2 linked regions of the Xenopus tropicalis genome follow. The protein of the gene in region 2 purifies or fractionates together with the protein of the main gene of each other region. This does not show direct contact. Links are inferred from orthologs where the notes say so. Each region holds a gene or a part of one and is shown on either strand. Other genes may lie near its edges.

What was found.
Region 1: the proteins of hsf1 (region 2) and fbxw7 purify together in Homo sapiens (affinity purification with western blotting; 4 studies listed by BioGRID, with this or other methods). This does not show direct contact. The link is inferred for Xenopus tropicalis from reciprocal best matches to the Homo sapiens genes HSF1 and FBXW7.

Annotation. Positions count from the first base shown.
Region 1 is NC_030677.2:55,438,970-55,442,720, reverse strand, and holds the start of fbxw7 (F-box/WD repeat-containing protein 7), read right to left. Parts: upstream 2,373-3,751; 5' UTR 2,244-2,372; intron 1-2,243. UniProt on the Homo sapiens protein: Substrate recognition component of a SCF (SKP1-CUL1-F-box protein) E3 ubiquitin-protein ligase complex which mediates the ubiquitination and subsequent proteasomal degradation of target proteins.
Region 2 is NC_030682.2:152,321,910-152,325,660, reverse strand, and holds the start of hsf1 (heat shock factor protein 1), read left to right. Parts: upstream 1-1,200; 5' UTR 1,201-1,436; exon of another isoform or gene 1,437-1,440; intron 1,441-3,751. UniProt on the Homo sapiens protein: Functions as a stress-inducible and DNA-binding transcription factor that plays a central role in the transcriptional activation of the heat shock response (HSR), leading to the expression of a large class of molecular chaperones, heat shock proteins (HSPs), that protect cells from cellular insult damage.

The DNA.
Region 1 (3,751 bases), on a different chromosome or scaffold from region 2:
GGGAGTACTGAACATGTGGCCCGGTCCAGAAGACAATTTTTTGCTACATGTGCTCTATATTACCTAAAGCCATCTTAATGCTCTACATTTATTTAATGCCAATAATTTGTGGGGTTTTTTCTCATATTTGGTTCAACAAGGCTGTGTTTAACTGCACTGCCACTAAATGTGTAGAGGGAAACTTATTACACGGCATATAAATGAAAATAATTACCCTACAATACATACCCCTGTGATGGGCATGCCTACACAAATATAATTGTGTGTAGTGCATGTTGCTTCTGCCTCAGTTCCAAATTTCAAGAGTCAGAAAGCAGCAGCTCCATTAAAAGCTCTCAGAAAAGAGAAAGTCTCTCAGTTTCCATTACATGTGCCATAAATGATAGCACTGACAATCTTTGTGTTTTGTCTCAGTGACTTCTAACAGAGAAATGAAAAAAGCAGGTCCCTTCACCATGTGCCATAACCCCAACAGGTGTAACTTTATTTCACTCTAGTAACAGAGCAGAGAACCACTACACCTTTGATTATCATCATCAAAACTAGGGGTGACAAGCAGATTTCAGCAATCTACTGTCAATCACAAGTGACCACCAGGAGCTTAATTTATGCTATTAGTAGGTACATTCATGCCCTAAAAACAGTATATACATCTTTAGTAAGAGCTTTTTTTAATATACACATAATCCAGGAATAAAAGTGCTTTATAAAGGGTCCAGGTTGTATTTAATCTTTGGTATTTCACTTAAATAAACCTTAAACTAGGGTTCAATTAACCTTTCAACCAGGTAGACATTTGGAATTCAGAATGTTTTAGGAACAGAAGAGGCTCTGAAAACATAGACCAATAATTCAAAAAACAGGAACATTCAAATTAAAGTCTAATAGTCCATGTTTCTATTGCGGGTCAGTGACCCTGTAACTAGGTAGCTTTTCCAGCTGCAATTTGGAAGAATGTGGTAAATAATTCAGAAAGAATACAACACGAAAAGTTTATTTTAGGACGGGCAAAATTTTGTCCACACTAAAGACTGGAGTTAATTATATATATAACAAATTCTTTTATACAAAATTCAAGTTTTATTGCATCCCATACTTTATGTTACTGCAATTTGGCATCCTCTGCCTTTCAATCCTATTACAGTAAATGCTTACACTAGGGATGCACCAAATCCACTATTTTATAATCTGCCTGAACCCCTGAATTGTTTGCGAAAGATTTGTCCAAATACTGAACCAAATCCTAATTTGTATATGCATATTAGAATAAGGAAGGGTTGAAGAGAACCGTGCATGAAAATTTTTCAACTTCCGTGTGATGGATTCTAATTCGTTTTGGCCAGAGGCATGGATTTGGCCAAATATGGATATAAAAGGTCAGATCTTGGCAGAATCCTGCACCAAATCCTGGATTCAGTGCATCACTAGCTTATACACATAAGTAACCTTATCTTTAAATAAAGTTTCACTCTAATCCCCCATATGAAAACAGCTAAATGGAGCAGCACAGACTAAAGACAACACAAAGCTGGGTTCTAGTGTGACAAGTCCCTTACATGAGTCTGAGCACTAAGTGGGAATGTTCTCACCATCAGACTTCTCTTACAATGGTTTGCATAGGGTGTTGCCCCAAGATTAGTACTGTGAGCACAGCATGCCTAAGCATTAGTACTACCCACTTACTTTGGGCAAGAAAAGGATGAATTAGGCAACTTGCAGTTCAGTAATGTGTGTCACAGGCAGAAGCCCAAGTACCCCTACAGGCTGGTTTGGTGTAAATAAATTCCACTTCCAAAAAGTCCACTTCTGTAGTTCTAGAGTCTTGAGGCAATGTTTTGGATTTCATAGTATGCACAGATATACAGGATACAGAGGTATAATTGTGTGTGTGTATAAATACACAATATACACAGAGCTATACTGTGCATATGGGAGTTAATACTTACAACACTTGCACACTACACAATCTCCCAATAAAGAGTTGCCTACAAGTCTATACTGAGTACAGCAGTGGTCTTCAAAGTGCGGCTCGTCAACTGTAAAACTACAACTCCCAGAATTCCTGGACGGATTCTGGGAGTTGTAGTTAAACACAGCTAGAGAGAAGGTAGTTTTGTGTCCCTGTAGCAGGGCAAGTAAATACAAATCTACATCCACTAATGTACTACTTTAAATTATTCCCCCACACACTACACTATTTCTTTAAAGCGATCAAGTCCCGGCGGTGGCCAGCGGCCAGTTACCTGGGTGGAATGACTAGTCGGGGGCATTCGCTGCCTTTCCTGGAGCCCACACGGGCAGGCACGCAGCTCACGGAAGGAAGGCTTCTCGCCGAGAGACAGGCACGGGAGGAGAGGGAGAGAGAGGGCGCGCCGGGATGACGTCAGTCGCTCAGCAACAACCAGGGCAGCAGTCGTCGCAGCGGCTTGATGTCATACGTGGGAGACGGAAGTAGGAGGCTACTGTTACTAGCCGCTACAGTTATGTTATGGTGGGGAAAGCAGCGGCGGAGTGTATTCAGCCTGGTGCTCGCAGGTGCATGTACCGCCTACGTTAGTAAGGTCAGTGAGACTCCGTACGATTAGCTCCAGCGGTTTCTCTGATTTTCAGTCTATTGCCGAATTATAGTTTCTTGTGTCATACACTGAGTGGTTGCAGTGTTCAGCAACAGTGATCTAAATGAGCCGGGGTGCCTTATACATATCGCTTCCGATGAGGATCGAGCTGCAGAATGGGGGGGGGGGGGAGACAGGAATTTAATTAGAACGGACAGCACACGAACGTGGACAGGCAGGTGTGGGGCACAATCACCCAGGGATAGGTGCCTACTGGGGGAACAATGCCTTGAGGCGAGAGATTCCAAAATGAGCCCTCTCCCCATGATGTAGGGATGGATGGTATCTTCAGGTTATAGTCATAGTTACCAGTATATATTACTGTCTGTCTGAGAAGGGTCTCATTCATTCAGTTCTCTAAAAAAAAAAAAGTCTAGTTGATTTGACTTATTGCTATAGTTATATATTACTGTCCATAGCCATAGAAATCATAGTCCCCAGTACATTCTAGTGCTATACTCCAGCAATAACTTTAATGATATTAATTTCATCAGAAGAGTTGAAAATTGCCTTTATTCCCACGGACCAAGACTAATGCATGGATAAAAAAAATGTTTGGAGCAACTGAATGCTAATATAAATAGTACAAAGTTTGCATAGTCTGTTTGGCACATGGGCTTTAATGAGCACTGGGTAGCACATACTTTCTACATTCAGAAAGGAGTCAGGACAGAGTCTGTAGGATAGAATTAAGGATTCATTATACTTTTGGGACTTTATTTCAAGATTTGTTTTTAAACAAAATTGTTAAATTGTTACATTTAAGCCTGTGCTATGGAGAATGGTGATGCTTTATAAATAAATGCCCTTAATTGTTTAGGTGTTGGAGATTGCATTGGCACATGCAGGTCTATAGAATGTTAGCAGTTTGTGCTTACCTGCTGTGTCCTTAGCACTCTAATGGTGAATACCGAGTTGAAGATAAAACCTGAGCTAATGCTAAAAAGCCTTTTTTTTTTTTTTTTTTTAAAAAGGAAATGATACCGCCTATTTGACATGAGTTCATTCATTTGTATTAATAATTTAATTTTTTACACAGACATACATGATTCCACAGAGTGAAAGGGAACAGTAAGAATCTGTCTGAGCTTGCAGGGATTGGTTCCCCACACCCGGTAGATGATGGTGCAGAGATT
Region 2 (3,751 bases):
CGACCATAGCCAAAGCCCAGTGTCCCATGTCCCCCCCACCTTAGCCAAAGCCCAGTGTCCCATGTCCCCCCCCCCCACCTTATCCAAAGCCCAGTGTCTCCCCCCCCACAGCCCCAGCCCAGTGTCCCCCCCCCCCACCTTAGCCAAAGCCCAGTGTCCCATGTCCCCCCCGACCATAGCCAAAGCCCAGTGTCCCATGTCCCCCCCACCTTAGCCAAAGCCCAGTGTCCCATGTCCCCCCCCCCACCTTATCCAAAGCCCAGTGTCTCCCCCCACAGCCCCAGCCCAGTGTCTCCCCCACAGCCCCAGCCCAGTGTCTCCCCCACAGCCCCAGCCCAGTGTCTCCCCCACAGCCCCAGCCCAGTGTCTCCCCCCCACAGCCCCAGCCCAGTGTCTCCCCCCCACAGCCCCAGCCCAGTGTCTCCCCCCCACAGCCCCAGCCCAGTGTCTCCCCCCCACAGCCCCAGCCCAGTGTCTCCCCCCCACAGCCCCAGCCCAGTGTCTCCCCCCCACAGCCCCAGCCCAGTGTCTCCCCCACAGCCCCAGCCCAGTGTCTCCCCCCCACAGCCCCAGCCCAGAGTCTCCCCCCCACAGCCCCAGCCCAGTGTCTCCCCCCCACAGCCCCAGCCCAGTGTCTCCCCCACAGCCCCAGCCCAGTGTCTCCCCCCCACAGCCCCAGCCCAGTGTCTCCCCCCCACAGCCCCAGCCCAGTGCCCCCCCTATACCCAATACACTTCCCAGTCAGTGTGTAACCCCGGGCCCCGGTGTCGGGCTCCACATGCATCGCAGTCACGTGTTATTACCGGCTGCTCGGCCTGAGGGCCCCCGGCCTCCCGCTTGCTCCCCTTCTTCATATTTCACTCAGGGCCCGGGGAGGATACGATTCCCTATTGGTTCTGTTTCGGTTCGACAGTGTCAATCACTTAGAGACCAAAATACCAGTCGCGCTGTCCAGAAACACGTTTCTCCCTGTCTCCTCACACCGGAAGTTGACTTTGCCCCGCCCACTAACCCGCCGGAAACAGTTCAATACCATCTTACCTGTGGCATTTGAATCTTTATACCTGAATAGATTATTACTGTTTGTTCTCAGGCACAATGTAATATAACGCGTGTAATCCTTTACCGGTATTTGAAGTCAGTGCACTACATAGAAAACAACTATTTACGTTAACACTACCTTGGGTGTAGTAAGGCTTGGGTGTAGTAAGATGGCGGACACGCAAATGCGCGTCTCACCGCTCGTACTGCGCATGCGTCCTGCTCCCGGGATTGTACGTCACAAGATGGCGCTCACCATGGCTCCCTCGGCCTGTGACTGTGCGCAGAAGGGCCCGGGAGCCTGAACTAAACATCCCGTCAGGAGAGTCCGGGGCGCTACCGGCTGGGGGGATAGCGTTGCTAACGTACCCCTCAGAGTCACCGACCCCTACACTGTACGTGAGTTGCCTACTTACCCCAATAGCTACTGCCCCCCTGTGTGTGAGCAGCCTAACTACCCCTCCTTTCTGCCAATAGCCCTTACCCCCAAATACTGCCCCCCTGTGTGTGAGCAGCCTAACTACCCCTCCTTTCTGCCAATAGCCCTTACCCCCAAGTACTGCCCCCTGTGTGTGAGCAGCCTAACTACCCCTCCTTTCTGCCAATAGCCCTTACCCCCAAGTACTGCCCCCTGTGTGTGAGCAGCCTAACTACCCCCTCCTTTCTGCCAATAGCCCTAAACCCCCAAATACTGCCCCCCTGTGTGTGAGCAGCCTAACTACCCCTCCTTTCTGCCAATAGCCCTTACCCCCAAATACTGCCCCTCTGTGTGTGAGCAGCCTAACTACCCCTCCTTTCTGCCAATAGCCCTTACCCCCAAGTACTGCCCCCCTGTGTGTGAGCAGCCTAACTACCCCTTCCTTTCTGCCAATAGCCCTTACCCCCAAGTACTGCCCCCCTGTGTGTGAGCAGCCTAACTACCCCTCCTTTCTGCCAATAGCCCTTACCCCCAAATACTGCCCCCCTGTGTGTGAGCAGCCTAACTACCCCTTCCTTTATGCCAATAGCCCTTACCCCCAAGTACTGCCCCCTGTGTGTGAGCAGCCTAACTACCCCTCCTTTCTGCCAATAGCCCTTACCCCCAAGTACTGCCCCCCTGTGTGTGAGCAGCCTAACTACCCCCTCCTTTCTGCCAATAGCCCTTACCCCCAAGTACTGCCCCCCTGTGTGTGAGCAGCCTAACTACCCCTTCCTTTCTGCCAATAGCCCTTACCCCCAAGTACTGCCCCCCTGTGTGTGAGCAGCCTAACTACCCCTTCCTTTCTGCCAATAGCCCTTACCCCCAAGTACTGCCCCCTGTGTGTGAGCAGCCTAACTACCCCTCCTTTCTGCCAATAGCCCTTACCCCCAAGTACTGCCCCCTGTGTGTGAGCAGCCTAACTACCCCTTCCTTTCTGCCAATAGCCCTTACCCCCAAATACTGCCCCTCTGTGTGTGAGCAGCCTAACTACCCCTCCTTTCTGCCAATAGCCCTTACCCCCAAATACTGCCCCCCTGTGTGTGAGCAGCCTAACTACCCCTCCTTTCTGCCAATAGCCCTTACCCCCAAGTACTGCCCCCTGTTTGTGAGCAGCCTAACTACCCCTCCTTTATGCCAATAGCCATAAACCCCAAGTACTGCCCCCCTGTGTGTGAGCAGCCTAACTACCCTCCTTTCTGCCAATAGCCCTTACCCCCAAGTACTGCCCCCTGTGTGTGAGCAGCCTAACTACCCCTTCCTTTCTGCCAATAGCCCTTACCCCCAAATACTGCCCCTCTGTGTGTGAGCAGCCTAACTACCCCCTCCTTTCTGCCAATAGCCATAAACCCCAAGTACTGCCCTCTGTGTGTGAGCAGCCTAACTACCCCCTCCTTTCTGCCAATAGCCCTTACCCCCAAGTACTGCCCCCCTGTGTGTGAGCAGCCTAACTACCCCTTCCTTTCTGCCAATAGCCCTTACCCCCAAATACTGCCCCTCTGTGTGTGAGCAGCCTAACTACCCCTCCTTTCTGCCAATAGCCCTTACCCCCAAGTACTGCCCCCTGTGTGTGAGCAGCCTAACTACCCCTTCCTTTCTGCCAATAGCCCTTACCCCCAAGTACTGCCCCCTGTTTGTGAGCAGCCTAACTACCCCTCCTTTCTGCCAATAGCCATAAACCCCAAGTACTGCCCCCTGTGTGTGAGCAGCCTAACTACCCCTTCCTTTCTGCCAATAGCCCTTACCCCCAAGTACTGCCCCCTGTTTGTGAGCAGCCTAACTACCCCTCCTTTCTGCCAATAGCCATAAACCCCAAGTACTGCCCTCTGTGTGTGAGCAGCCTAACTACCCCCTCCTTTCTGCCAATAGCCCTAAACCCCAAGTACTGCCCCCTGTGTGTGAGCAGCCTAACTACCCCCTCCTTTCTGCCAATAGCCCTAAACCCCAAGTACTGCCCCCTGTGTGTGAGCAGCCTAACTACCCCTTCCTTTATGCCAATAGCCCTAAACCCCAAGTACTGCCCCCTGTGTGTGAGCAGCCTCACTACCCCCTCCTTTCTGCCAATAGCCCTTTACCCCCAAGTACTGCCCCCCTGTGTGTGAGCAGCCTAACTACCCCCTCCTTTCTGCCAATAGCCCTTACCCCCAAGTACTGCCCCCTGTGTGTGAGCAGCCTAACTACCCCCTCCTTTCTGCCAATAGCCCTTACCCCCAAGTACTGCCCCCTGTGTGTGAGTTTCCCGCTTGGCTTGTA